Linked DNA regions of Cricetulus griseus. The protein of the gene in region 1 purifies or fractionates together with the protein of each later gene. This does not show direct contact. Links are inferred from orthologs where the notes say so. Each region holds a gene or a part of one and is shown in the gene's direction. Other genes may lie near its edges.

Region 1 (4,397 bases):
ATTTTACTAAGAGTATTAAGACATTTATTTGTAAGTTAAATTTGGTTAAAATTCGTCAGATAAGTTAACTTAAGAGTATCGTAGCTAGAGACCAAAGGAATGATTTGGGTTGTCTCGGAGAATCCGTTAAGTTTGCCGAAAGGAGGGGGATTGTAGGGTGTCTCTTCCATCACAGAAAGAGATGGTACCAAGACAAGAATACTTGATATAAGATTATTGATTTGATTGTGGCTCGCTGATTTATTGTTTTCTTTTTAGCTTGAGTAGGTAGGTATTGAACTTTCCATGAGCTACTGCTGAGCTAGCTATGCTTCCAGCCTCGTTGAGGTGTTCTTAACTGTAGTTTAGGATGTAACATGGTTTATAGGGCTTTGTTTTCACATATTCTTTATAAAAGCGTGTAGCATCTTAGTGTCCCCTGCTTTGTGACACCCTTTGCCCTTTTTGCTGTATGTGGGTGTTTTGAGTGTATACATGCATATGCACGCTTGCATGCCTGGTGCCCACAGGGGTAGAAGACTCATGGAGCTGGAGTTGTCAATGTTGTGTTGGCAGCTAAACACAGGTCCTGTGTGGGAGTAACAAGTGCTCTAAACTGTTGAGCCATTTCTCCAGCTCCTCCACCATACTCTTTAAAAAAATAAAGAAAGAAAGAAAGAACGAAAGAAGCAATACAGCCAGAGGCTAATGAGTGAATAAGCTCCCGTGGAAGAGAGTTGTCTGCATCCATCCGCTCGCTCAGGTGACTGTGGAATTGCAGTGCGGTCCTTCCTGCCACATAGTGGTAGATTGGAGCACTCTGTTTGGGCCTTTTCTGCAGTTTTTCAGTCATCCTCTACTCCTGACGTAAAATTGATTTCTTTGCCTAATGTCAGATGTTGAAAAACATTGTGATATGAGTCTTGTTTGCTTTTTGAAACGATAGTGCTATGACCAGGGGAATAGCAGTAATAAAATTTTTGGCAAAACTTCATCAAGTTTTAAAAGTAAAGTTGGCAGGTTCAAGGTGAAGCAGTTATGGCTATCCTAAGCAGCCATGTGTTCATTCTTTATTACAGAAATAGCTTGTTGACTGTAAAACTTTCCCCTTTATTTTACCTTTGGTGTGCATTGTTAACCTGTAATGCTTATTTTAAAAGATTTATTTTTATGTGTGTGTGTGTGTGTGTGTGTGTGTGTGTGTGTTTATGTGTGTGCGTGTGTGTGTGTGTTTGTGTGCGTGTGTGTGTGTGTGTGTGTGTGTTTATGTGTGTGTGTGCGTGTGTGTGTGTGTGTGTGTGTGTGTGTGCGTGTGTGTGTGTGCGTGTGTGTGTGTTTGTGTGTGTGTGTGTTTTTGTGTGTTTATGTGTGTTTGTGTGTGTTTATGTGTGTGTGTGTGTACATCCACAGCCGAGATGCGGGCATCTAGTCCTCCCCAGAGGCGGAGGTAAAGGCTCTTGAGAGCTGTCTGACGTCTATGCTGAAGGCTACACTCACTTCTCTTAACCTCTGAGCCATTTCTCCAGCTCTATATTGCTTCGTAATGCCATTTATTTTTATGAATATGTCCCTCTTTCTAGTTAATACTGCCTTAAATGAAATAGAGAGAGAGAGAGAGAGAGAGAGAGAGAGAGAGAGAGAGAGAGAGAGAGAGAGAGAGTGTCATTAATTCAGCAGAAGGAAACATCATCAGACCTTTTCATTGTATGGTGATTAAAATACAACCTGTCTAATAAAAAATCATCTGTTAGCACAAATGAACGCAAAGAGAAGACAAGTAGATGCAGCAGGGGGCACTAGATGAAGGCAAAAGTGAGTTCTTACGTTGAAGCAGCTGTGTAGCCTGTGCCTGGTTCCTATGTGAGCGGTGGGGTTTTCTTGATGGCCGCTTGCGAAGGAGACAGTGGTGACGGTCTCACTATTAATCCAGCTGGAGTGGCTGCAGTCTGATAGTTGTACACCTTTCCTCATGCACTCATGGTTTCTAGAGCTTTTGAAAAGAGGAGTAGAGCAGGACATTCATTAACTAGGTGTTTCGAATACCTTTTGTACAAAACGTGATTTTGTTAAAAAGGGAAAGAATGATTTGAAAACTTTGTTCTCTTTCTGTGTAAATGAAGAAAGGTTTATTTTCAATGTTAGTGGTATCTTTGAATGCTTGGTTTTTTTTGTGTGTTTATTTGTTTTTTTCTTCTCTAACCCCCCCCCCCCCTTGCATCTCTAGTCCAGTATCAGATGGAGATGATGCGAAGCCTGCGCCATGTCAACATCGACCACCTGCACGTGGGCTGGTATCAGTCCACGTACTACGGCTCGTTCGTGACCCGGGCGCTTCTGGATTCTCAATTTAGTTACCAGCACGCCATTGAAGAGTCCGTCGTTCTCATTTACGGTTAGTAGGAGGCTCCTTTATTATTCTTTTCCTCCCGTAATATTATTACTGCTATTTTTGCTTTCTGTCTTTCTGCCTCACGGAGAAGCCCTGGCAGGCCTTCTCAAGTAAATATCAGCCCCGTTCTGCAGCAGCCTCAGCAGCAGCTCCGTCTAGACAGGGTTTCCTTCTTTCTGTTTATTTTTCTTGCTATCAGAGCCCTGATGTGTACGTTTTGGAATGCTGGAGTAGCTGCTTCATTTTTTTTCTCATCTCCCTCCTTCCTTGCAGGGGCTGGTGGAATAAGACCAGATGTCTAACAAACCCCGATTGCTGGCGTGTCTGGTTCTGTACGTGACTGACCAATCATAATGCAGCTTGCCAAGTTTTCCTTTTTTTTTTTCTTTTTTTATACCTCTGACAGCAGTGTACAAAACCTGGACTGTTTCTTAGCACAAAGATTTTTTTCTTTTCGGCCTATTTAATGGTGTTTCCTCAAGCTCTCCAGACCAGATGTTCTGTGCTATATCAGAACCGTAGGCAATTTAACAGCTTTATAGCCTCCCCCTTCCCAAACACTCACAGTTTGCCATATCTGGCAGACTTGCATATAGTTTCCAGCTGAGAAGTAAATGTAACGTCCTGAGTATCTGTCAGAAAAAATACTAATGAATACGATCAATCTTATGAGCTGCCCTGAAATTGTTTCAGTGTGTTAGCAATTGGATTACAGAGAGAACAAGTTGTTAAAGTGCACTTATATTGGCTGGAAACATTGCATCATCAGACCTTGATGAATTTTCCACTTGCTTCAATCTATTTTGGTTTTCATTTTATCACCTATTGCTAAAAGTTTGACTGTGTTGAATTTCAGACGACATGAATGCTAACACAGGTTTTAGGCAAGCGTTGGCACACCAGAGCCGTTATCATGCAGCAAGCGCTAAGCTCCCTTCCTTGCCGAGTGTTCGTTCAAGCAGTCAGTTTTGACAAACTTTGTTTCTCAGACTGAAAAGACAAGTTGTGATAGCACTTGGACGGAGTGGTTTTGTTTTTACATCTGCTTTAGTGAAGAACCGTGGACAGCACTCACTGGGATGATACGCTTTGTTCCCAGGGCTATTTGTTTTCAGTTTATTGACTGAAGGGCTGGAGAAGTATACACAGAGATTTTCTATGTTTAATATTCATGAATATTTTCTCCTATCTATGCAAGATCTATAGGACATTATCACATATTTAATTTTCACCAAGTTGACTGGTTCTCATTGAGGGATGGATTTGAAGGTATCCCACCTAGATTTTGGCTCTTAGTTTTTGTTTTAAGGAGGAAGCTATGCTGGTTTTAGTCAGCTTCAAATGATGTCCTGATTATTTCTTTTGGTCTTCATATTTCAAAGCTTGTATGATAAGTAACAGTGTGCCCAGAACTAGTACTGTATGAGAACTAGTAGTGACAATATTCTCAGTGATATCTTTCTCTTTTTCTTTTTTGAGATCCCATAAAAACTGCCCAAGGTTCTCTCTCACTGAAGGCATACAGACTGACTCCTAAACTGATGGAAGTTTGTAAAGAGAAGGATTTTTCCCCCGAAGCGTAAGTGTTCCGTGCCCATGAGGCACGTTGTAAAGGACTCGTGTGATTGCTTTAGGATTTCCGTTAGCCACGTGCTGGGCTATGGTAATGCCACTGGCGTGTGGATGAAAACGCTTCTGCGTGTACAAGTGCCACTGGCTTTCTCCCTCTCCGTGTTTGAATGATTCTGTATGGAAAATCTCATCTGCTGTTTTTTTACGGTGACTGCAGTTAGTGGGAACTAATTACCCACCGTATTTGAAGCCCTTTAAAAGTGGTAGGATAAAGGGTGTGAGAAGAGAGAGTGCTTAGCCACCATCAGATTGCAAGCTGTAGCCTGCTTCTGCACCGTGCGGCCTGTTGGATGGCGTGCAATAGACCTAAACATTTCAAGGATTCAGAGAAAAAAAAGTGGCTTCTTGGAACTTAGGGGGTAAGAGGTACAGAGCACATTAACTGTTCTGTGATCCC
Region 2 (4,397 bases), on another chromosome or scaffold:
GCAGTTGTTATTCTGTTGTTTGGGGAACTTGACAGAAAGAGCATGTGCATGTTGATTAGACATGGTCTTTTTTGTTCTCCTGAACATTTGGTGAATTGACTGGTGAAGACTTCACAGAAACAGCTGACTGTGTACATAGTCCAGCCCTTAGATAAAATTATTCTGGATCAGACTTAGAATTTGATGGAAGCGGAGACTTGTTGCTGGGTGGATATAAATGTGGTAAGCCAAAGCATGCTCAGACCCCAGCTTTGCCAGGCAGACCGTATCGCACTAGAGTTTTAGCTTTCTCACCTGCAAAGACAGAAACTAGAAACTAGTGAGCTGAGTGTGGTGTATGCTTCCACAACAGTGACGGAGCAGCCATGCCAGCCAGTTTGCTTCAGCCTTCTTGGGTGACTGGGGAAGTCTTTTCCCTCCCTGGTGACCTCAGCATCCTCACTTCACTTTCTCTCTCCCTCTCTGCCTCCTTGCAGCTGGCAAAAACGCAGGGCAATGTGTTTGCCACTGATGCCATCCTAGCCACACTGATGAGCTGCACACGCTCTGTGTACTCCTGGGACATTGTAGTGCAGAGAGTCGGGTCTAAACTCTTCTTTGACAAGAGGGACAACTCTGACTTCGGTAAGTAGCCTGACTGGGGAGCAGCTCGGGGCACTGGTATTATTGGTCTTGAATATTGCTTGGTCCTGAGAATGGGTCATGTGTCAATCCCTCCCATCCTCCTGGAGTCCAAGGGAAGAGACCACTTCAGTGCTTCCGTGGGCTTCGGCTCTGAGTCCTCACACCACCACTGTGGCTGTGTGTTGTTCACTTGCACAAAACTTTCCTGGCCTTTTGTTTTGGTTTTTTGTTTTTTGCTTCTGCATTCATATACTATAAAGAAAAATATATGCGTGTATTTTATGACACATGTATATACACACCATTAATGAATCACTTGCAAACTGACAGTATGAAAACAAAGCCATCTGATTGTGTTTGAGTTGTGAGCCTCATTTGTTAAAATGCCAACAGATGCGTTCTCTTGAGGAATCTAGAAGGAATGGCTTCTTACTGTGTGATTGGTGGTGGTAGGTCAAATGGAAGGTCATGCAAGAGGCACACACTCTACCCACACATGCCACACATACTCTGGGGAGAGACCCTATTAGCAGAATACAGTTCTTTGGAGATGGCACCCTATAGTCTGGGTCTCTACATCTCCCCATGCTGCTTTGCACACTGCCAGTGGCTCTTGGCAATGTGAGCAGCTGACCATCCATGCTTGGGCTTTTATAGACCTCCTGACTGTGAGTGAGACAGCCAATGAGCCCCCTCAAGATGAAGGCAATTCCTTCAACTCACCCCGCAACCTGGCCATGGAGGCCACCTACATCAACCACAACTTCTCCCAGCAGTGCCTGAGAATGGTGAGCACACAGGAGCGGGTGGGGAACACCGACTTGCTGATTTGGGTGATTTAGGGGGCTGCTGCTGAGCCTCTGCTTTGCACTAGACTGTGGTGTGGTGTTGGCCAGGAACGGCCTCTCCTGGTGGCAGAGGATCCAAGCCACTGACAGGTCTGTGTGCTTGGACATATTTCCTCTCTGTAAAGTTACAATATTAATACTTGTCTCACACAGATGAGCTGTGGAAATGCCTTTGGCTCAAATGCCATTTTTTGCCTTGAGGATATGATATTGAACAAATTGTCCACTTTTCACTGTGATGAAGGAGGAAGTATGAAGGCCATTACTGCCCTGTTAGGTTAGCTGTCTGTCTGTGGTGAAGAAGGAAACAGGGAGGGGCATTCAGTGGGATGTGTTGGGTTTAGTCCTTCGCACAAGTAAGCCCAGATCCTCAAGGACATAAAGCAGTGCTGGGTCTGCTGACTTGACATCAACACCATCTCCTGAAAGCTTTGTCACTTCTGCAGGGGAGAGAAAGATATAATTTCCCCAACCCAAACCCATTTGTGGAGGATGACATGGATAAGAATGAGATCGCCTCTGTTGCTTACCGGTATGTCAGCTGTGATGGGGGTGTGCCCAGATTGGAGCACAGACCCTGTCCTGTGCTGTCTGGAATGGTCCATCTAAAGCAGCAGATGTTACAGAGAAAGAATCTTGCTTTCCTTGTAGTTACCGCAGGTGGAAACTTGGAGATGACATTGACCTTATCGTCCGCTGTGAACATGATGGCGTCATGACTGGAGCCACTGGGGAAGTGTCCTTCATCAACATCAAAACACTCAATGAGTGGGACTCCAGGGTGAGGCACCATTGCAGCTGTCTTCCCTGTTGTGTGTAGTGGGATTGGCTGGAGTGAGGTGACCAACCTTTAAGTGCTCACAGAGCCAACGTGGATGGGGGCTGCAGTTTCTTTATCCACATAAGTCCCTGCTGACAGAGAACAGTCAAGTTAAGGGGTTTCTGCTTTTGGCGCCTTTGTCTATTCATTCTGGGCACCCATTGGCTCCAGCACTCTACACATCTGGTCTTGATCTCATCTTGTCTTGGAAAGCCCAGTCACTCTCTCTGACGTCTTTCTGTATATGCTCAGCCTCACTGCCACCTTGTGATCCCTTTGTCCAGCTCTGCCACTACTAACCTCAAAAGACTTAAGATAGCGGTTCTCAACCTATGGGTTGTGACCCCTTTGGAGGGTTGCATCAGATATCTACATTATAATTCATAACAGCGAAATTACAGTTATGAAGTAGCAGTGAAATAATTTTGTTGTTGGGGGCCACCACAACATGAATATTAGAGGGAGCAGCAGCATTAGGGAGGTTGAGAGCCTATGCTCTAAGAGCTGGGCAAAACATGAGTATACACACGCTCTCCTCTTTCCATTGTACAGCTGTGGGCAGTCCACCAGGATAATCAGGTCAGGTGTCATTCTTTCTCCCTTGCTTTATGTGTGGCACTCTGTTGAAGTTAAGGGCAGGGCCATTGCCTCTGTACAGGATAAAGAATACTGACAAGGACAATTCTGGGGCCCAGCCAGCCTGAGATGGTTAGCTTGCCATCAAAATGTGGCTCAGAAATCCATCCTCTGGTGGGGCCAGTGGCCTTCTCCCAGACTTCTACTGTAGCATCTGTCTTTCCTCATATTTGTGCAGTTCTGAAATCACACACCGCTACCCTACTCACAAGTGAGGTTGGAGCCTTGGGGTAAATCCCCAAGCAGCTCTTGTCCCAGAGTACCTTGTACTTCAAAAACACATGAAAAGAAACTTATGACCTAAAACAGCACCTATAATGGTGGGCAGATAGTTTCATTCTCTGTTGAGGTATTGTGGGTGGCAGTGACTATGTCCCTAGAACTGAGTGGGTTCCAGAAGAATGTCTGCTGTGAGTTGAGAAGTCAGTTCCTTGCAATGGTACAGCTGTGGTCCCTGTTCCTTGTCAGCACTCAGGTGCTCCTTTCTCCATTTGGGAGTCTGCTGGGGCACTCTTTGTCCTTGTGCCTGGCATTTGACTTCTGTCTGACTTCCGTATACTCTGTTCAATTCATCTCTGCCTGTGATTGTCCCCAGGATGCTGGCAGGGTTCTTCAATGTCATGGCACTCTCTAGGGGCTACAGCATATTTTCAAGTTTTAAGGGAAATAGAATCTGTCAGATACTAATCTCTTGTGGGAACCTCCCTGCCCTGTGACCTTGGACTGCCCCATTCCCCACATCTGGAAGTCTATGCATAGGAAGCATCAGGTGCTGGGCTCCTGCCCTCAACCCCACCTGAGTCTCACCCACCTGCCCCTCAGATCCCAAACTTCCTTCTCCATATGTTCACCATGGCACGATGTAAAGCCCCGTTGCACCACACAGCACCCTTGTCATTGAGTTTTGCCTTCTCCGTTACCCGCAGGTTGGGTGGATATGTACAGCGATGGTCGTGTCTTTGTCTCTTACATGATAATTGGTCTACGTCTGACTCAGGCATACTTTTCACTTCCTAGTGGGCTCCTGTCTTCAGAAGAGGCCCTGGGGCCTTGTGGCAGGTGCCTCTCACCCAGTAACCATCTTTCCTTCTGCAGCATTGTAATGGCGTTGACTGGAGACAGAAGTTAGACTCTCAGCGTGGAGCTGTCATCGCCACTGAGCTGAAGAACAACAGCTACAAGTTAGCGCGGTGGACCTGCTGTGCTTTGCTAGCCGGATCTGAGTACTTGAAGCTCGGGTGAGACTTCTGCCGGTGCTGGGGCAGGCCCGGGGCAAAGGCTGCTTGCCTCCTTTCCTTTGGGAAAAGCAGCAAACCAGGCATTGCCATCTCTATACTGCCCAGTATGACCACCCATCCTCTTCCCCCACAGATATGTGTCCCGGTACCACGTAAAGGACTCCTCACGCCATGTCATCCTGGGCACCCAGCAGTTTAAGCCCAATGAGTTTGCCAGCCAGATCAACCTGA
Region 3 (3,325 bases), on another chromosome or scaffold:
GAAAATGAAACCCTCAATAAAGAAGAAGACTGTCACTCTCCAACCTCCAAACCTTCTAAACCTGATCAGCCTCTAAAGGTAATGCCAGCCCCTCCGCCAAAGGAGAATGCGTGGGTGAAGCGAAGCTCTAACCCTCCTGCTCGATCTCAGAGCTCAGACACAGAGCAGCAGTCCCCTACAAGGTGAGTAGGCCTGCAACAGCAGCTGCTTAGCTGGAAGGTGCCCTGAGGGGTCTTGGCCTTTGTAGTATGTATAATTCATACTGAGGTGTCTCATAGCAGTGTGTTTTTTTCATTTTTGTTAGCCAGTTGGCATCGTTTTGATGGGTTGAAATCAGCTATGATGGGCGCATTTATACCACAGAAATTGTAGACATGTCTATTGGGTTTTGTCCTGAGATATACTGTTAGTGTAACCTTGGAGGGTCATATCATTTAAGTGACTTAAGATTCTCTTAACTTTTCTCAGTTTTTGCAAAGAGAAAACTACTATTGCCTTGCTGGGTTATAAATTCCAAAGCATATGGCAGTTGAGTGTGGAAGTGACTGCTTTCATTGTCTTTTCCTATACTTAAATATTGCAGTGTTCAACATGCAGGCTCTTGTGTATTTCTATAAAGGCAACCCACTGCATTCTGGAAATGGTATAAGCTTGTGTTGTCTTTCTTGTAAAAACTGATGGTTGATTGCTTGCTCCATTCTAGTGGTGGAGGGAAAGTAGCTCCAGCTCAGCCCTCTGAGGACGGACCATCAAGAAAAGGTGAGCCAAGGGAAGTAGGTTTTGATCTGTGTAAAGCCTTGGATACAAACACATCCAAGAGCTACAAAATCAGTTCCCAGCACCAGCATATATGGTGGCTCACAACCATTCATATCTCCAGTTTCTTTAAGGCATTTGATGCCTCTTTGCCCTCCACAAGCACCAGACATAGGTGGGGCACAAATATGCAGGCAATACTCATAAAATAAAAACAACTCTTAAAAAAATTCCTGAATTAAACACCTTGACCAAATAAATTTGTTTTTGATTTTCAAGATAAAGGTATGTAATCTTGGAACTGGAACTCATTCTGTAGACCAAGCTGGTCTCAAACTCTCAGAGATGTACCTGCTTCTGCCTCAAAGTGCTGGGATTAAAGGCATGAGCAAGAAAAAAAGAAAAAAATATTATTATTATTATTTTTTTTTTGCTGAAAGCTGCAGTATTTGTGTCTCATGAAGACAACAAGTTCATGCATGTATATGATGTATTTTAATCCTATCATTACTGCTGCCCTGTTAGCTTCTCTTGTCTCCTTCCTGCCAATCCCTCTTCCCCAGCTAGCCTCTATTCTACTTTTATGACTTTTGTGGGGGAGTTGCCTAGTGGGCTTTATTGAGGATTACAAAAGTTCTGGCACCTTACCAGTGGCCACACTATTCAAAATGTCTTCCCTCCCCCTGTCAACCTTCAGTCAAGAAATTTGAACTTTTATGCCCTGTTTTGTGATGTTCTTTTGATGAGCTACCTTTCCTTGCCAATAGAGGGCAGGAATGGGCTCTTCAAAGAGTGTCAGAAGCTGGCTTTCCTGGTAAACCTTGCCTTGGTGGGGAAATTGGACAGGAATAACTATGTCTGTCCAGGTGAGAAATGTCACCATTAACCAGCCAAGGTCACTACAGAACAATCTAGTCCCTTTTTCTCTTTCTTTCCTGGAAGAGGGGTTTGCTGTTTGTTTGGGGTTTTTGTTTTTTGAGATAAGAGTTTATCTGTGTAGCCCTGGCTGTCCTATAACTTACTCCAAAGACCATGCTGGCATCAAACTGAGAGATCTGCCTATCTCTGTCTAACCAGTGCTGGGATTAAAGGCCTGCACTACTACCACCACCTGGCTTCTGGTCTTTATTTCTATATTGCTTTTCCGGGTGACATTTACTACAGTGAGACTTTTTAATATGTCTTGTTTGGTATGCCTGGGTGGTATAGGAACTTGGGAAGAAAGGCCTGGAATGGAGTTAATTTCCCTTAGTACATGTTTTCTTCGGCTTAAAAGAAAATCTAGTACAAGGAAATAGGTTACTTTATGTGACTTGAATTTGGTTTTTGTGTTTCTGCTTAAACAGATGAAAATAAAATAGATGGGGTAAATGTCCCAAAAGGCCAAACTGGGTTCCCAAGTCGTGGCCCTGGAGATGGAGCAAACAAAGACCACTGGAAGGGGTTGGACAGGAAAGATGGCAAAAAAGATCAAGACTCCAGATCTGCACCTGAGCCAAAGAAATCTGAGGAGAACCCAGCCTCTGTAAGTGTTGTGTGCTTGCATCCACTTCTCATAGCTCAGTTTTGCAGACTCCTTTTTTCTTGAGACTGGAGAAGTTGGAAATGAGGCAGTGGTGTTTTTTTCAAGTTAATGAGAAAAGCTAAGATGGGCTTTTTGTTGATGAGTCAACCCTTCTGAGCTCTTACACACTTGCAAAGTGGAAAGGATGTGTATTGCTGGTGAGCTGACTTGTGACCCTGGCCCTCCCTGATTGCTTCGGTGGAACATGCTACCCCTAGATGAATTCATGTCCCCTATGCCAAAGCATTAACTTCTGCTTCTAGGAAAATCTCAGACTTTATTACTTTGTCCCTCTCATCTATTATAGAAGTTCAGTTCTGCAAGCAAGTATGCTGCTCTCTCTGTGGATGGTGAAGATGAGAATGAGGGAGATGACCACGCTGAGTAGACCTCCACATGCTGTGCTTTCTTCTAGTCTCCACCCCGGAAGATTCAAGAGCAAATCAAACCTCTATCCAGACAAGAAAAAATAAAGCTCACCATCTCCTGAAGACCTTTCTTAACTTTTTTTTTTTTTTTTTAATGAAATGAAATTGTTTTGCATGCTGCTGCAGCCTTTTAAAGTATTGAAGTAACTGGAGAATCACCATTGTAGCCAGAGAGATGTGGCTATCACTTTTGAATGGGGAAGTTGTGATGTGTTCTGATGATAGAAGTGGTTACCTTTGTGACTAGTGCCTGGGGCTCCATTCAGCAGAAATGTAGTGACAGTGAGACTCGGTTGCATCAGTTAGGCAGTAGAGAAAGGTACAAGGAAGAGTGAGAGTTCTACCTTTTAATTGTTGTCCTGTGGTGGCACCTACAAATTCCCAAACATCATCTGAGTACATTTCCCACCGTTGGCCAGGTAGATCTAGTCTCTCAAGTTATTTTAGTCTCCAGGAGGCTGCCAGCCCTTCTACTTCAATTCAGACTTAGCTGGGGCCAGCCTAGGGGAGTTGTGTTTTGGGTTTTTTTTTTTTGTTTTGTTTTGTTTTTTAATTTTAATTTTTTACCCCCCAAGGG
Region 4 (4,978 bases), on another chromosome or scaffold:
AAGCATCGTTTGAAAGGTCACCACTTACACCTCAGCCATCTGAGTGCCAGATGACAGGTGTGTGCCACCACTCCCCACTGCACAGCCTTCTTACTGTCACGTCTTTGCATACAATTTGCTCATAAGTTAAACTATTACCTGGCTCCAAGGAAAGATCTTATTAATACCTTATTTCTGTACTTTTAAGTTTATTATTACTGTATGTGGGTGGGTGTTTTGCCTGTATCTGTGTTTGTGCACCACGTGCATGCCTGGCACCTGTGGATGAGGTCATTGGATCCCTGGGACTAGAGCTATGGACAGTTGTGAGCTGCCATTTGGGTGCTGAGAATGGAACCCAGGTCTGCTGGAAGTGCAGCCAGTGCCTTTAACCACTGAGTCAATGCTGTCCACTTAAATTTTGTTTTTAGAATTTTCCCATTTGTAGACAGGTGATGGTGGCTTATGTCCCTAATCCCAGCACTAGTGAGGCAGAGGCAGGCAGATCTCTGTGAATTTGAGGCCAGCCTGGTCTACAGAGCAAGCTCCAGGAGAGTCTCCAAAGCTACACAGAGAAACCTTGTCTTGAAAAAACAAAACAAAAACAAAAACAAAGCAAAGGCCATTTGTCTGGATTTTGCATTTCTCTAGTAAATTTTTTGTTTTGTTTTTGTTTGGTTGGTTTTGTTTTTCAAGACAGGGTTTCTCTGTAGCCCTGGCTGTCATGCACTTACTTTGTAGACCAGGTTGGTCTCAAACTCAGAGACCCACCTGTCTCTGCCTCCACAAGTGCTGGGATTAAAGGTATGCACTCCTGCACACGCACGCGCGCGCGCGCGCATACACACACACACACACACACACACACACACACACACACACGGCTCCATAATACAAATTCTACGTGCTGGAAATATAGGTCATCACAAGTGCGCCCAGCGTGTGCTTTCCATCTGCACTAGCAACCCAAACTAAGAAAGAACTTCTTGGAATGCATGTTCCCAGAGGCTGAGAATCAAGTAAAGGAAGATTATACCAGAGTTCTAGGGGGTGTAGCTCTGAGGAAGGAGAAAAGCTTAGTATGGGAAATAGTTTAAGATGACACTGGTAGGAACCCATTTCACATAGAGGAATATTCCCTGAGCCTAGACACACGGGGGAGGGCCTACGTCCTATCCCAAAGGATATGACAAACTGATGACCCCCCCCTATGGAAGGCCTCACCCTCCCTGGGGAGCAGAAAGGGCATGGGATAGGTAGGGTGTTACTTGGGGGAGGGAGGCAGAGGAGGAGGGGAGGGAGAGGGAACTGGGATTAACATGTAAAACAATGTTGTTGCTTTCTTCCTTTTTTTTGGGGGGGGGTTCGAGACAGGGTTTCTCTGTGTAGCTTTGGAGCCTGTCCTGGCATTCGCTCTGGAGACCAGGCTGACCTCGAACTCAGAGATCTGTGCCTCTGCCTTCCGAGTGCTGGGATTAAAGGCGTGTGTCACCAACGCCCGGCCTTTTTTGGTGTTTTTTATTTTTGTTTTGTTTTGTTGACAATGTTGTTTCTAATTCAAATAAAAAACGGAGGAAAAAAAAAAGATGACACCGGTAGAACTTGCAAGATGTCTTTGCAGCTAAGAAGGCTGACTGCCAAGCCTGAAGACCTGGGCTCAGTCCACAAGAGAATAAACTGGGGAGATTGCTATGAGTGCAAACCCAGCCTTCGGTACATCAGTGCGTGGTGCTCATGCCTATAATTTCAGCCCTTCGGAGGTTGAGGCAGGAGGATTGTCGGGAATTGCTGGTTATCCTAGCTACAGAGTGATACAGTGACTTCTAATCCCATCACTCCCCCCCAAAAAAACAATAAATTAAGTGGGTGCGGAGAGTTTAAGAAGTTCTGGACGGTCTCTCTGGGACCTCCTTCCAGCTTGGGTCCCCGTACTTCGCTGCACACGAGAGTCGCGTGTCCGCCTTCGTCCATAGGGAGGCGCTGTGCTCGCCGCGGTCTGGCCGCTCTAGGCTGCAGGGGCGGCACCGGAAGCCTCGTTCTCCCCGGGCTTCCGCTCTCTACCCGGGCTGGGAGCTGCGTGGAGCTAGACTTCGCGATGCCGACGGGCGACTTTGAGTGAGGACGGGGCGGTGGCGGGCTCTCCAGAGAGGCGGTGTGGGGCAGCGCTGGGTGTGTGGTGATCCGGGCGGCGCGGGGGTCGGGACCCGCTCACCCTTCTCGTGTCTCCGCAGCTCGAAGCCCAGCTGGGCCGACCAGGTGGAAGAGGAGGGCGAGGACGGTGAGTGCGCGTGTGCGTGTGAGTGAGTGCGTGAGTGCGTGCGTGTGAGTGCCTGTGCGCGGCCCTCCGCGCCCTGTCCCGGGGCGGGCCGAGCCCCCGGAGTCCCCAAACCCACCCACACCTTGGCCTGGACGTCCCAGCCGTGTGTTTCACTTTCCGTCCCCCCCGCCGCCCCCGCATTGCCTCTGACAGACAAGTGTGTCACCAGCGAGCTCCTGAAGGGAATCCCTCTGCCCACCGGGGACACCAGTCCAGAGCCGGAGCTACTGCCCGGAGGTGAGCCCCGTCCAGCCCTGCCGTCCCCTCCCCCTTCCGGCCCTCGAGCCCGTTCCCAGCAAGTCCCCGTTATCCAGGACTCAGTTCCTGTTGTCTTCCCACAGAGCCACTGCCACCTCCCAAGGAAGTCATCAACGGGAACGTAAAGACTGTGACCGAGTACAAGGTAGATGAAGATGGCAAGAAGTTCAAGGTGAGGCCGAGGTGGCCGCGGGGGCGCTTGGATTGGCGATGAGGGCTGTGAGTGTTGGTTTGGATTGGTGAGGAAGGAAGGCCTTGAGGTTCTGGAAGTCCTTTCTCCCTTTCCATCTTCAGATTGTCAGGACCTTCAGGATTGAGACCCGGAAGGCATCGAAGGCTGTGGCCAGGAGGAAGGTGAGGCCCTCCCATCTGACTCACTTTGGTGTGTGTATGCGGAGGGGTCTCCAGGACTGGCCCAGAGGAGTTGGGAAGTCCTTTCCTGTTGATGTAGAATTAAAAATTTAGTGTCAGGCCCTGGAAATTCAGGGTCCAGGAGTAGTTGAGGTTAGATTTTTTTCCCCCCTTTTGTGTGCTCCTGTGTACAGTGTCATTCCTCCAGCAAATTCCTCTTGCATTGAGATGGGCTTTTGTCATCAGGAATTAGATTTGACTAGCTGGCCACCTATCCCCAGTGAGCCTGTTGTCTCTACCTTTGGAGATAACAATCACATGCTTCTGTGCCCAGCTTTTCATTGTGGGTGCTTGGGATTGGACTTTGATGGGTACTTTTGTGACAAATAATTTGCTAACTGGGACATATCCATCCTCTTGAGTTTTTTGTTTTGTTGTTATTTTTATTTATTTTTTGGTTTTTCGAGACAGGGTTTCTCTGTGTAGCTTTGGAGCCTATCCTGGCACTCGCTCTGGAGACCAGGCTGGCCTCAAACTCAGAGATCCGCCTGCCTCTGCCTCCTGAGTGCTGGGATTAAAGGCGTATGCTACCAACGCCCAGCCTTAATTTATTTATTTTTAAAGATTGATTTATTTGTTTATTATGTATACAGTGTTCTGCCTGCATGTCAGAAGAGGGAACCAAATCTCATTACAGATGGTTGTGAGCCACTATGTGGTTCCTGGGAATTGAACTCAGATCTCTGGAAGAGCACTCAGTGCTCTTAACCTCTGAGCCATCTCTCCAGCCCCATTTGTTGTTATTTTTGAGAGGCTCTTGCTGTGTAGTATTCAGATTCTAAATGCTTCTGCCTAGCCTCCTGGGTCCTGACTTAGATTCTTACTCCTTTGCTCTGTCTACTTGAAGGAACAAGCAGCCTCTACTGAGCAAGGGGCAAGGGCTTCTGGAGGAAGGACATCAACACATTGAGAGCAAGGCTCCATGCCAGGCATTTAGCAAGACATGGCTTCCCAACCTCTAGATCAGGCTAGGGAGGCAGGGAGCTTTGTGGTCCCATTTAACTAGCTTAAGGTTCCTGTGATCTGAGTGACTCTTGGACATCCTCCAGCTTCCTCCCTGGTGGGAGCCCGCCCTGCACCTGCCTAGAAACTTCAGTGGCACAGTTGTGTGCCATTCTACTCTGAGTCTCCTTGCTGTTTCCTGGAGTTTTTTTTTTGCTTCTCTCCTTATGGGGTGTGTGTGGGGGGGGGTAGGTGTGTGGGTGTGTCTCGGGGTCATGAATGGCTGTATATTCACACTCAGACTAGAGGAGGAGATTGGGTGACTTGCTCTGTCATGTCACTTTACAACTTATTCTCTTTAGATAGGGTCCCCTGCCCCTGGGCTATATTTAACTCTTTGGTTTGTTTGTTTTTTGTTTTTCAAGACAGGGTTTCTCTGTGTAGCTATGGAGGCTGTCTTGGCACTGGCTCTGGAGACCAGGCTGACCTTGAACTCACATAGATCTGCCTGCCTCTGCCTCCCAAGTGCTGGGATTAAAAATGTGTGCCGCTACCACCTGGCTCATACTTTCTATATGAGAGTTTTGGGTTCTTTCATGTACAATAACCGGTTTTACACACGGAACCACCTCACCAACACCCTCCCCCCTTCTCCCCCACTCCTTTGTTTTGGCCTCATACAGCAGAGCTCAGGCTGGTTTTGAACTTGTGTATCTCAGGGTGACCTTGAGCTCGGAATCTTCTGTTTCCACCTTTAAGTGTCAGGGTAACAGTTACATTCCACCAAGCCTAGCTTAGGAAATGAGAATTGTCACCATTATCACATGGGAGGCCTCTGGGGACACGAGAATGTAGGATTTAAGGCTCTGACGGGGTTGTCTGTCTGGGGTACCCCACTCTGCTATCTTACTGCCTTTGTCCCCATTTTTCCCTATTCTTCTGGGAACCCAGAATTGGAAGAAGTTTGGCTACTCTGAGTTTGACCCACCGGGGCCCAATGTGGCCACCACCACAGTCAGCGATGATGTCTCCATGACATTCATCACTAGCAAAGAGGTGAGCAGGGTGAAG
Region 5 (4,962 bases), on another chromosome or scaffold:
CAGCTTATTGGCTTGTTAATCATATCTAACAGAGTCGCAGCAACTAGACTGGTGTTTGACTAAAAACTAGGTAACGGGTATCACAGACTAGTCAAGCGATACATAAAATTAATCACTCGCCGGGCAGTGGTGGCACAGGCCTTTAATTCCAGCACTAAGAGGCAGAGGCAGGCAGATCTCTGTGAATTCAAGACCAGCCTGGTCTACAGAGTGAATTTCAGGACAGCCTCCAAAGCTACAGTGAAACCCTGTCTCAAAAAACCAAAAATAAACAAATAAAATTAATCACTCCAATTACTAAGTTCTATTGCCTTTCATCTTCAAATATTTTAAAGACTGGTTCCTTCCTCTCCATTGTCACTAGCTTAATTTAGACTTGAATTCTCGTTGAATTAATTCACTGAAGTTGGGGGTTGCATAGCTCAGTGGTAGTGCAAGGCTTGCAGAAGATCTTGGTTTTATTCCTGGCACAGCAAATTAATTAATGTACTTTTCGAAATGTTGAAGATAAAAATTGTGAATGATTGTGTCCTCAGGGATGTATAGTCCAGCTTTTTGCTACTGTCTCTCTTGCTTACTTTCAATCCACCTTTACAAATAGATGCTTTCTTTATAGATTGTCGTCGCCTCACAATTTAATGATGCTGTAGTACACTTCTTGAAACACCATCTTATTAAATGTTTGTTTTTAGACCAAAAATACACAAGAAACGGAAATAAGAGAATGGCTGATTACTGTCTTTTTAAGAGTTTAAAAACTGTAACTATGTTGGAAAATACATTTAATTATTTATTTAATTAACCAAATACCTAAACTGGCTCGTCCCTTAACATCCTTACAGGGAAGCCCAGTGTCAAAGGAAAAAATTCTGCTTCTTTTAGGTTCTTTATCATCAGTTTACCTGTTCGTTTGCAGTCAGGTGAGGACCACAAGCCTTCTCTCAACCAGAAATGCACCGGAGCACAAGTCACTTGGTTTCTCAAACTCCAACTTCACCAGTGTCTACCGCAGGCAGCCTACCGCAGACAGGGAACTGCAGCCTCCGCCGCCGTTAATGCTACCTTTTTACATCTAACCTCATAATGCTACTTTTTGTTGCAGCCATCGCACTGTGTCGAAATCTGTTTACATAACTATTTTGCTACCGGGCTGAGGGCAAACTAGAGCACACGCCTGGCACAGACCACGGAATTCTTAAATGTTTTCGCCAAAGAATCGCCGTACCGGCCTCAGAGGGGCTCACGGGAAGGGAAAACTCGGAGCGACTGGGGTCGACTTCGACCTCCAGGCCCGCCTGCATGAAGGCTGCGGGAGGACCGCCCCGTCCGCCGTATCCACCGGGCACGACCGCCCGTTCCCAGTAGATGATCAGCGGCCCCCAGGCGAGCACCGCCCTACCCACGCCTGCGCACTCCCTTTTCCTTCCTGGGAGGGGCCCTGGCTGGGGTCGGCGTCCCCTAGCCCAGCGTCGCCCCGCCCTGCCCCGCCCGCCGCGCGCGTCGCCCGAAGGGGTGGAGCCTGGGCCGGGCGCCCAGTCAGCCACGGTCCCAGCCTGCCCCGCGCGGGCCAACGAGAGCCATCCCAGTGACTCACCTCTGCCGCGCTAACTCTTCGCAGCTCTTCCCTTCACACACGCTCACCCGCGACTCGAGATGGCGGCGGCGGCAGCGGCGGCGGCGGCGGCGGGGGACTCGGACTCCTGGGGTGAGCACAGTTCCGGCCCGAGTGCGGGCCGTGACGGCCTCGCTCCCACGCGTGTACTAACGCGACTCGCTCTCTTCCGTAGACGCGGACACGTTCTCTATGGAGGACCCGATGCGGAAGGTCGCGGGCGGCGGCACGGCCGGCGGGGACCGCTGGGAAGGCGAGGACGAGGACGAGGACGTGAAGGTAGGTGCGGCCGGGGGCGCCAGGTAGCTCGGCAGGCGCCGCCTGGGCGGGGGGCGGGCGGCGGCGGGCGGACTCGGGGCCCCAGGGCGCCGCCCGGGCCTGCGGGCCGTGGGTCCCGCGTGAGCGGCGGCCCAGCCGTGCCCCGGTTCCCTTGGCTGGCCGGCCATGTGGGCAGCAGGCGGTGGCGCGTCCCGCCGGACTCTGCCGAGGATGGTGGCAGCCCGTGTCCCAGCCCTTCACCGAGGGTCGGCTCCCCGGCCTGGATCCTAACTGGCGACTAGAAGTGACAGCCAGCAGTCGGGTCGGCCCACGTGCAAGCTTCGCAGGCCAGAACCTCTCATGGCAACGAGCCGACCAGATTGGAAACTCGGCTTCAGTGTCTGTCCCATATGGAAAGTAGGGAGACCCGCCTGCCTTTCCTAGTTTGGGTCTCCCAGATCAGTAACTTAAGTATGATCCTGAGGGTCGGTGGCTGGTTCCAGCGGTTGGATGAGCAGAAAATCTTAGTTTTTCTAAACTAGAATTGGTCACTAAAACAAACAGCTTTTAGGTCTCCCTTCCCCCACCCTGTGGTAAGAAGGATGAACTGAGCACCGAGTTAACCGGCAGGTTAGTGGACGGAAACCTAGGACAGAAGTGTGAGCAGTGAAAAATGGAAAGGTAATAGTCACTCATCTACACAGGTCCAGGCCTAGAAAAATACCAAAGATTTGGTAGTTGAAGTAGACCAGTGGTTTTGTTTGTCTTGTAAGTTCGAATCCGATTCATCTTTATTGTTTTAGAAAACTCCCATGGGCTCATCCTACAGCTTTGGAAGTCATTATCTTCTGTGTTCATTAAAAAAAAAAAGTTACAAGTCTAAGCTCCATGATTGTACTAGTGAAGTTTTCAAGTCTTGTTATATTTGTGCAGATAAAGTTTTGTATGGAATGAAAAATTTTTTCTTCCTTGGATTAATCTAGTACCTTGTAAATCCTCCTGGTGGTCAAATTTTTGAGCTAAGTAATCATTGTGAATTTAATAGTACTCTTTGGATTGTCTTTTTCTGAAGTTTGTTGAAGTGTGTGTCCACTTTACCAGACAGCCTGAATTTGAGGAATGAAGTGAGTTTTTCATACATTGAAGTTAATAATGACTAATAGTATTGTTGAGTAGCTACTTACATGTTTTGTTTACCTATTGTGTACACTACACTTGGGGATGATTTGTTACCAACCTTCTTAACACACGACAGCAGATTTTCAGTTTTGATTTTTCACTCTTCATAGGAAGTGGAAGTTAAGACATAAAGTTAAAGAAGTATAAAAAAGGAGTGGAAGTTAGTCCAAAACAAAATAGGGGGCTGGGGTAAATAAGTGGAATTGGGAATAAGTTCCAGAAAATTGTTAAAAGTTGTCTGTAATGATGTAGTATCTACCTGGGATTATGGAATCTAAATGGTATTATCGTGATGTTAATAATTCTCATCACTCACAGTGGTTCTCAACATCCCTAATGCTTTAACCTGACCCTTTAACATGTTGTGTTTAACATGCCCTCATGTTATGGTGACCTCCTACCCATAAAATTTTTTTTGTTGCTACTTCATAACTGTAATTTTGTTAGTTATGCATCATAATGTAAAATGCCGGATAGCTGATACTGGCCTCCGGTGAAAGAGTCATGAGGCTGGGCGTTGGTGGCCCACGCCTTTAATCCCAGCACTCAGGAAGCTGAGGCAGGCAGATCTAGGTGAGTTCAAGGCCAGCCTGGTCTACAGAGTTCCAGGACAACTCCAAAGTAACACAGAGAAGCCCTGTCTTGAAAAACCAAAAAGAAAAACAAAGGGGGGTCATATGGGTCCAAGGGTTCAAGACTCAAGTTGAAATGTTTTATTTCCATTCTCATGATACAGTATAAGAATAGTTTGACTCCTGGGTTTTAAAATGATACTGATTATAATGTTACCTTAGCATTTTCTAGATTTGTGGCCATAAGCAAGTTATACTGTCTCATTATGTAAATGGTTGTAATGAGACCTGCAATTCAGAGTTACTTTGTTGTTTTTTGCTTGTTTGGTTTTGAGACAGGGTCTCACTGTGTAACACTGTATGGCCTAGATCTCACTATGTAGACCAGGCTAGCATTGAGCCTCACAGAAATCTGCCTAGCTCAACATCCTGAGTGCTGGGTTTAAAAGAAGTGTGCCACCATGAGAGTAACTTTGTATTTTAAGTGAGCATTAAGCAGGGCCACCTAGCACTTGTAGATAATCAGTAAATATAGTTTTCAGTGATGTTTTCTTTTTTTTATCCTATGGACATATTTAGGCTGCTAAGATCTAGTATCTGAGGTTTATTTTGTGCCTCATTTCCTAAGGCCAGAAAGATAAGTATTTTCTATAGTATATATTTACTATGAATTTTGTGGAGTTTGTTTTTTGATTTACATATTTGGAGGTTTGTTAAAATTGAATTTTGTCACCTTACATGGCAGTTGAGTCATAGTACTAGCTTCTGAATTTTGATGTTTTAGCATTTAATCTTTTTTTGTAGGGGTATGCAAACAAGGCTAAATTTTCATTAAACAAAATAATCATAATCCTTAAACAAATTAGTATGTGAATTTAAAAAAAAAAAATACCCGAGTTGAGTATGATGGTAAGTGCCTATAGTTTCAACACTTTGGGGAAGTTGGGGGAGAATCACTTGAATCCTGTACTTGAAGACCAACTTGGGCAACTGAGTGAGAGTTCTATCCCCAAACTATAGAAAATATTCATTTTATGTCAGGATCAAGTGCTTTGCCTTGTAAATGACCAGTTTAATGCTACTTGAAGTATCTTTTTTAGTTACTTGCCCTAATTGACTATCCTTTTCAGTAGACAGCATTTTACCTTTTCAGACCTTTCAGTTGAAAAAATGGACTTAGTAAAGCTATAGACCTCTTAATATTCATGAAGGAAAAAGATAGGATTTTTCCCAGTAAAAAGGTGAGAACTAGTGGCCAGAGAAATTCCTCAGAGGTTAAATGCAGTAGTCACTTCCTGAGGGCCAGAGGTACAATCCTAGCACTCTTGTCACAGCTGTGGC
Region 6 (3,510 bases), on another chromosome or scaffold:
CTAAGCCAGGTGAAGTCTACATTATTTCATTTATCCTTGTCTTTTTCCCTGTAGTTGAGACTCCTCTCCGAGTGGATGTTGCAGTGTTGAAAGTGCGAGCGAGACTGCTACAGAAATACTTGTGTGATGAGCAGAAGGAGCTACAAGCACTCTACGCCCTCCAGGCCCTTGTAGTGACCTTAGAACAGCCTGCCAGTAAGAGCCAGGCTGCAGGGATGGGTGGGACAGAGGGACTGCCAGATAGAAGAGAGGGTGGTCATGAAAAGTACACAACCCAAGAAAGGTGGGTAAAGAACAAAATGCCCTGATGGTTTGATTGATGCCTTACCCTACCCAATGCACGTTCCCTTGCCTACAAAGAGTGAGTTAATTAAACCTTGAGGGTTGACATCCTGCAGGCTTTGTGCTTGGCCAGTAGGTGACAGCAACAAAAAATGATATCTTTCAGACATGATGTGCCCACTGAGTCTGGCACAAGGCTAAAATGCTTGGCTTACATTGCCTTATCTCATAGCCATTGTGGGTTTATCTCCTTTTTTCACACTGTAAGACTGAGGTTTACAAATTGAGCACATGGGTATGTTCAAGTGTTAGTTAGGTAACCGTAGTAAGGAAGCAGACCACAGTTGTGGGCTGGCCTGTAGTCAGGGGCTGAGGGAGTGTTGGAAGGTTAGTCTGAGGGGTGGTAGGGAGGAATTAGTTGACTGACAGATGGAACAGGCAGGCCGAGTGGGGTGAGGAAATCAAAGTGTGAAGTAGTGTGTGTGTGTGTGTGTGTGTGTGTGTGTGTGTGTGTGTGTGTGTTGGGGGCGGGGCGTGGGGATAGGTACTTCAGGCCGTATAAGTAGCACCAGGGCTTTGTAAGCAAAGAATTTGAGCTGAAAATGGTGCCTCACCCTGTGATCCTCTATTGCACCAAATGCTCACCTACGCTGAATCAGGCCTTGTTTTATCAAATCCCTACTCTAACCCCCAGCTGGTCATGGTGACACAAGACAGCCAGGGCTGCATACATCAAAACAAAACAAAAACAACCAAAACAGTACTTGAAGCATAAGTTCCTTTAAAATGTTGTCAATTAGCTGTTTATTTGCCTTTTACAGTAAGGGAAGACTGAGGCTTCTTGCTTTGAAAGGTCCTGCTGGAACTATCACTTTCTCCAAAATGTTTTCACAAGAAGATAATGGGATTGACTCCAGAGGAATAGAGCAGTGGGGAAGTAGAGACACAGAAAGGGCTCTATGAACAAAAGAAAGAATTTGGTATAGGGAAGTGGTAGATAAGCAATTAGGACAGATGGTTGACTGAGACAAATTATATAAAAATCTTGTTTAGCTATAGGATAGTTGAAAGATGGCTTTTATGTTTAATTTGGACAAGTGGGTTAAATACGTGTGTGTGTGTGTGTGTGTGTGTGTGTGTGTGTGTGTGTGTGTGTGTGTGTGTGTGTGTGTATATAGCACTCCGAGGAACTCCGACAGAGTGTAGCACTCTAGAAGCCAGAGATGGTTCAAGTGTTTGTCAGGATCTGTGCCTGTTGTCTCCAATCCTGGACTCAGGGTTGAACTCAGATGTCTGGTTTCCAACTGTTTTCTGAGATGTAATCTTAAGTAGTCTGGCTGGCCTCGAATTAATTTAGGCACTTGGCCTTACCATTTGAACCTCTTGCCTCTATATTCCAAGATTACAGTTGTGAACCACCATGCCTGACATTGTTCATTTCATCTCTCTCCTTTGATTCTACTTGTGATGTTCCCATTTCCCCTTATCAACCTTGAGACATGGTGTCACTGTGTAGAACTAGCTGGCCTAGAATAGTCTATTGCAGACTGGGCTAGCATCAACCAGAGAAATCTGCTCACCTCTGACTTCTGAGTGCTGGGATTAAAGATGTGCACCACCACACCTGGCCTCATTTTTTCCCTTTTCATATAGTTTTGCTAAATAACCAGAACTGCCTGTTTCTGAAGATTGCTAATGGCCAAGTAATGAATTCTTAGGCTAGTAGTCTCTGTCATGAGATTAGCATTCTGTCAGAAGCCTGGCCAGTATAGTAGGGCAGGGCGTAGTTTTACAGTCTCTCTGGGAGGGACCTCTGGCTACAGACTGGTCACCTAATTGATGTCTTTGTGGCTTGCAGACCTGCTTCGGATGTTCTTTGATGCCCTGTATGATGAGGACGTCGTGAAGGAAGACGCTTTCTACAGCTGGGAAAGCAGCAAGGACCCTGCTGAGCAGCAGGGCAAGGGTGTGGCCCTTAAATCTGTCACAGCCTTCTTCAATTGGCTTCGAGAGGCTGAGGAGGAGGAGTCTGATCACAACTGATGGCGGGTGGGGCCGGGGACTTGGAGCCATGGACACGTGGATGGCCCAGCCAGCCAGCTGCCTGGACTGCAGGGGGGCGGCGGTGGCAGTGGCGGCAGTGGCAGTGGGTGCCTGTAGTGCGATGTGTCTGAGCTAATAAAGTGGCTGATGAGGCAGGATGGCTTGGGGCTGCCTGGGGCCCCCCCTCCAGGATGCTGCCAAGTGTCCCTCTCCTCCCCCCGGGGCACAGAGATATATATAAAGTCTTGAAATTTGGTGTGTCTTTGCGGGGGGAGGGGCACTACCGCCTGCCTCTAGGGTCCTTTTTTATTTTCTGAAATCACTCTTGGGACTGCCGTCCTCGCTGCTGGGGGCATATGCCCCAGCCCCTGCACCACCCCTGCTGCTGCCTGGGCAGGGGAAAGGGGGGGGCACGGTGCCTGTAATTATTAAACATGAATTCAATTAAGTCATTGCCTCTTTACTGATCTGCTCCGTTGGAAGAGTATGGGTAGGTGGGCATGGTCCTCTCCAGACTTGGCACTGTATCAGTGTTGGTACCTGCCTCTTTCCCAGTCAGTGATTGGGGGTGGGGGACCCAGGGAATTGGTTTTCTGGAGGGTTGGGTTTTCTGGTTTGACATACGGGAAATTGGTGCTATAGAGTACTTTTGCGCCTACCAGATTAATCCAGGCCCTGGGTTTGAGGCCCTTAGAACTATAGAAGCTCTAAAGGGGGCGTCCTGTGTAAAATGACCCGTGTGGCCTACCGGCTTCTCCCTTCGGTGTGGCACCGCAGTGGAGATACAGGCTGTTTCAAGACCTAGACTGTTACTGAGTGGCTGTGACGTAGACTTGCCCCGCCTGTTCTGGATGGGCACAGCCCCGGGCTTACGTCACCGGCCCTATTCCCCTCTCCCGGGAGCGGCAGCAGACGCGTTGCTCCCACCCCCTCCCCTTCTCACAGGCTGTCCCCTCCCCGGTGGTGACCGCGGCCCGACCCTCAGCAAGACGATGGCCCGGGTCCCAAACACGGGCTAGCGTGCCTAGGTGCCCTGCCATGGGCTGTATTGGCTCTCGGCGCCCAGCCGGTCAGGGTAAGAGGCGGAGGCCGGAGCATGGACAGGGAATCGGGCTACACAGCTACCCGGTGGGGCCGTGGGTGGAAGGGGCAGTGAGGAGGGGGCTGGTATAAGGAGAGGGAGGA
Region 7 (3,131 bases), on another chromosome or scaffold:
TGCTTATTGGCTGTGGACCTTCCAAGGACGCCTTCTCCAGAAGAACAACAAAGATCGCTTTTGCCAGCTGCTCTGGAGACCAAGGCCCCCAACACTCCTCAGCCAGGATCAGATAAAGGTCTGTGTCCCTACCTTGTTGGGACCACAAGGAGTTGGGTATGGGAGGAGTTGTGGCACTGAAGGAAACGAGGCATTGTCCTGTGAGTGGGGAATAGAGGTAGGGCCTCTGAAGAGATGCAGGGCAGTGAGACCTTAACTGAAGCAGTCAGGCACTAACTCTTAAACTTGCAGGCTAGGCAATACCAATAAACCCAGGAGGCTGAGGCAAGAGGATTTTGAGTTCTTGCCAGACTCTGCTGTATAGCAAAAAGATAACCCTATCCTTCTTGTCTGTTCCCCACTCCCCAGAAAACCCAGGAGTCTGCCTAAGCCAGACAGGCTGTAAACAAGTCCCAGTGGGATTGGAAGAACTAGGAGGTGTTAGGTAATGGGATAGAGTTGTGATATTAAGTAAGATCTGGGAGTGACTCACCCTAGGAATCTTTCCATGAAATGAGACGCCCCAGCTGGGCATGCTGGTCCCCTGGGGCTGAATCCTCTTAGACCTGGAGGCTCTCAGTGTACACTGGCATCTTTGAAGGCAGCAGTTAATGGTGCTTGCTTTGAAGGTTTAATCCTGAGAGACTTGTCTTGATTTCAGCAAATTAAGAAGGATCTGAAGAAATACTCTAAGATCTTCGAGCAGAAGGATCGCTTGAGCCAGTCCAAAGCTTCAAAGGTGAGCCCCAGGGGATGCTCACGGGAGCCTGGGCCTGGGCACTAGTGAGAAGGGTGTGCCAGGAGCCTGGTCTGGCTTGTTCTTCCATATGAGAGGGGGCAGCTAACAGTGGGGAACAGAGGGCCAGCACTGGTCCTTGGAACCAACACCCACTAACACTGGGTAGAGGCTGGCTTTTTCTTATAGAAGCAGGAGGGGATAGAATCAAAAAGAGAAGTGAGGGAGGTTTTATGGAAGGTGTGTCCAACAAGGCTCTGCTTGTCATCTTCCAAACTTCAATAATGGTCGCTGGACACAGTGGGGGTCGCTATGAATGAGCAAATATGTCTTGCTCAGCCCTACAACCTTCCCCACCTGATAGGAACTGGTGGAAAGAAGGCGGACCATGATGGAGGACTTCCGGCAATACCGAAAAATGGCCCAGGAACTCTACATGAAGCAGAAGAACGAGCGTCTAGAACTGCGGGGAGGTAATCAAGCTTCCAGGCTTGTCTTCAATAAGAGTGGTCCCTGAGGGTGTGGACTAGAGCCCTGTAGCCGGCATTGCAGCCACGTCCCAGGGGTTAGCCTGCTCTCTGTCTTCTTAGGGGTGGACACTGATGAGCTGGACAGCAATGTGGATGACTGGGAAGAGGAGACCATCGAGTTTTTTGTCACTGAGGAGATCATTCCTCTCGGAAGTCAGGAGTGACTTCAACACTGTGGTAAGACTTGTGAACGTGAAGACAGGAATGGGTGCCTACTTAGTCAATGGCTGCTTGTTAGACCACAACATAGAAGACAACCCCAGCAAGATGGTAGTGCCACCACTGGTGGTTGATAGGGAGCTTGGAAAGAAGCAGAGGCTGGCATGAGGCATCACTGGTGGTTGATAGAAAGCTTGAAAAGAAGCGGAGGCTGGCATGAGGGCAGTGCTGCAGGAAGGAGGATCAGGTACAACACTGTGTCATCCAGTGTTGGTAGTACAGGAGTGAATGTGTGTGGTGCTGGGTTCTCTCAGGAACTGTGAGAGCTGAGCGTCAGGGTAATGTGGGTGCAATTGACATGCAGGCCAGCTCTTGGCTAGAGGAACTACCTCTCATGCCAGGAGTGTGGTCAGTGAATAATCCTTTGCATTGTGGCTAACTAAATGGTGGCTCATCTATTGCAGTGTTACTGTGCCGTGCCCAGGATCCGAGGCCACCCTTCACAGAGAGCCTCAGGCTGGGTTCTCATCTGTGCTTTTTTGCTCTGGACTTCGAGTACACCCGGGGTTCTTCCATCCCGACACAGCTCTGTGCCTTCAGCCCCTGGGTCCACAGTGGGGACACTCGAGGCTCCTCTCTCATTTGACCTGTTTGGGTTTTTATGCCATGTCTGCTGTGGGGCCTCATTGCAGCGCTCTTGGTGGCTCCTTTCACTCCTGCTGCCCGTGGTGTTTCCAGAGACTCCACCTGCAGCTCAGTGGGGTCCCTATTCATGGACTGGCTGTCCCTGGAGACCTTCAGGGGAACTGCACGCCCACCACTTACTTGTGCCAGTAGCTCTGGAGGCACCCAGCACCTCACACCTGTTCAGGCTGTGGCGGGGCCCTCTGCGCAGGTTGGATGTGGAAATAAAAGCAACCCTGTGTGAAAATGCTGTCTTGTTCTTCTTTGCCATTTGCAGTGGCTGGCCTTGAGGCCTGCCCATTCCCTCTCCCTAGGGTGAGAATGTTTGCACACTTGCTCCTGGCTTGTTGAACCTGTCTGAAATCTAGCCAGGAGCCTAGTGTACCACATCCCAGATGTAATGTATTCCATCTGTTTCTGTGAGAAAATGCTCATCTCACCCCACAGAACCCTTAGGTTTTCCAGAATTGGGCAGGTTGGAAAACAGGTACAGAGGGGAGCAGCCACTTAGACACCTAGTGTCCAATAGAGAAGACAGCAAACTTGTGTAGCTGGGCTCCACAATTGGTGAGCTGTGGCCATGCTCTATGCAACCTGCCTCTTGCAGGCTCCCTTCTGGCTCTGCATCTCTTGTGACCAGAGAGCTACCCCAGGCTGGGCCTGCAGAGCATGTACTATACCAGCAGAGGACAAAGATCAGTGCTTTGACTGTGTCACCTGTCCTGGTTCTTAGGTTCTTTATTCCTTTGTGTTCTCTTGAGGTTCCATCGTGGTTGCAGTCCCCTTCAGCACTTTTACCCCACAGTATTGGCCACTTGATGTTCTTTAAAAGTCTTTTTCCAGCTGGAGAGATGGCTCAGAGGTTAAGAGCACTGAGTTCCAGAATTGAACTCAGAGGTCCTGAGTTCAATTCCCAGCAACCACATGGTGGCTCACAACCATCCGCTATGAGACCTGGTGCCCTCTTCTGATGTGTGGATATA

Evidence for each region.
Region 2: the proteins of Eif3h (region 1) and Eif3d purify together in Homo sapiens (affinity purification with mass spectrometry; 10 studies listed by BioGRID and IntAct, counting the BioPlex papers as one, with this or other methods). This does not show direct contact. The link is inferred for Cricetulus griseus from reciprocal best matches to the Homo sapiens genes EIF3H and EIF3D.
Region 3: the proteins of Eif3h (region 1) and Eif4b purify together in Homo sapiens (affinity purification with mass spectrometry; 3 studies listed by BioGRID and IntAct, with this or other methods). This does not show direct contact. The link is inferred for Cricetulus griseus from reciprocal best matches to the Homo sapiens genes EIF3H and EIF4B.
Region 4: the proteins of Eif3h (region 1) and Eif3g purify together in Homo sapiens (affinity purification with mass spectrometry; 8 studies listed by BioGRID and IntAct, counting the BioPlex papers as one, with this or other methods). This does not show direct contact. The link is inferred for Cricetulus griseus from reciprocal best matches to the Homo sapiens genes EIF3H and EIF3G.
Region 5: the proteins of Eif3h (region 1) and Eif3j purify together in Homo sapiens (affinity purification with mass spectrometry; 3 studies listed by BioGRID and IntAct, with this or other methods). This does not show direct contact. The link is inferred for Cricetulus griseus from reciprocal best matches to the Homo sapiens genes EIF3H and EIF3J.
Region 6: the proteins of Eif3h (region 1) and Eif4g1 purify together in Homo sapiens (affinity purification with mass spectrometry; 4 studies listed by BioGRID). This does not show direct contact. The link is inferred for Cricetulus griseus from reciprocal best matches to the Homo sapiens genes EIF3H and EIF4G1.
Region 7: the proteins of Eif3h (region 1) and Eif3b purify together in Homo sapiens (affinity purification with mass spectrometry; 10 studies listed by BioGRID and IntAct, counting the BioPlex papers as one, with this or other methods). This does not show direct contact. The link is inferred for Cricetulus griseus from reciprocal best matches to the Homo sapiens genes EIF3H and EIF3B.

Annotation. Positions count from the first base shown.
Region 1 is NC_048603.1:3,300,113-3,304,509, forward strand, and holds part of Eif3h (eukaryotic translation initiation factor 3 subunit H), read left to right. Parts: intron 1-2,203; coding exon 2,204-2,371; intron 2,372-3,847; coding exon 3,848-3,947; intron 3,948-4,397.
Region 2 is NC_048595.1:375,059,599-375,063,995, reverse strand, and holds part of Eif3d (eukaryotic translation initiation factor 3 subunit D), read left to right. Parts: intron 1-476; coding exon 477-624; intron 625-1,281; coding exon 1,282-1,412; intron 1,413-1,918; coding exon 1,919-2,004; intron 2,005-2,123; coding exon 2,124-2,253; intron 2,254-4,023; coding exon 4,024-4,166; intron 4,167-4,299; coding exon 4,300-4,397. UniProt on the Homo sapiens protein: mRNA cap-binding component of the eukaryotic translation initiation factor 3 (eIF-3) complex, a complex required for several steps in the initiation of protein synthesis of a specialized repertoire of mRNAs.
Region 3 is NC_048595.1:398,493,353-398,496,677, forward strand, and holds part of Eif4b (eukaryotic translation initiation factor 4B), read left to right. Parts: coding exon 1-182; coding exon of another isoform or gene 183-186; intron 187-703; coding exon 704-759; intron 760-2,102; coding exon 2,103-2,281; intron 2,282-2,627; coding exon 2,628-2,708; 3' UTR 2,709-3,325. UniProt on the Homo sapiens protein: Required for the binding of mRNA to ribosomes. Functions in close association with EIF4-F and EIF4-A. Binds near the 5'-terminal cap of mRNA in presence of EIF-4F and ATP.
Region 4 is NC_048597.1:133,768,075-133,773,052, reverse strand, and holds the start of Eif3g (eukaryotic translation initiation factor 3 subunit G), read left to right. Parts: upstream 1-1,983; 5' UTR 1,984-2,074; coding exon 2,075-2,094; intron 2,095-2,210; coding exon 2,211-2,257; intron 2,258-2,449; coding exon 2,450-2,533; intron 2,534-2,637; coding exon 2,638-2,726; intron 2,727-2,848; coding exon 2,849-2,908; intron 2,909-4,858; coding exon 4,859-4,963; intron 4,964-4,978. UniProt on the Homo sapiens protein: RNA-binding component of the eukaryotic translation initiation factor 3 (eIF-3) complex, which is required for several steps in the initiation of protein synthesis.
Region 5 is NC_048599.1:56,409,769-56,414,730, reverse strand, and holds the start of Eif3j (eukaryotic translation initiation factor 3 subunit J), read left to right. Parts: upstream 1-1,543; 5' UTR 1,544-1,653; coding exon 1,654-1,705; intron 1,706-1,787; coding exon 1,788-1,891; intron 1,892-4,962. UniProt on the Homo sapiens protein: Component of the eukaryotic translation initiation factor 3 (eIF-3) complex, which is required for several steps in the initiation of protein synthesis.
Region 6 is NC_048597.1:67,960,123-67,963,632, reverse strand, and holds the end of Eif4g1 (eukaryotic translation initiation factor 4 gamma 1), read left to right. Parts: intron 1-54; coding exon 55-195; intron 196-2,140; coding exon 2,141-2,325; 3' UTR 2,326-2,773; downstream 2,774-3,510.
Region 7 is NC_048597.1:77,070,714-77,073,844, forward strand, and holds the end of Eif3b (eukaryotic translation initiation factor 3 subunit B), read left to right. Parts: coding exon 1-118; intron 119-700; coding exon 701-778; intron 779-1,139; coding exon 1,140-1,248; intron 1,249-1,365; coding exon 1,366-1,469; 3' UTR 1,470-1,482; intron 1,483-1,928; 3' UTR 1,929-2,395; downstream 2,396-3,131.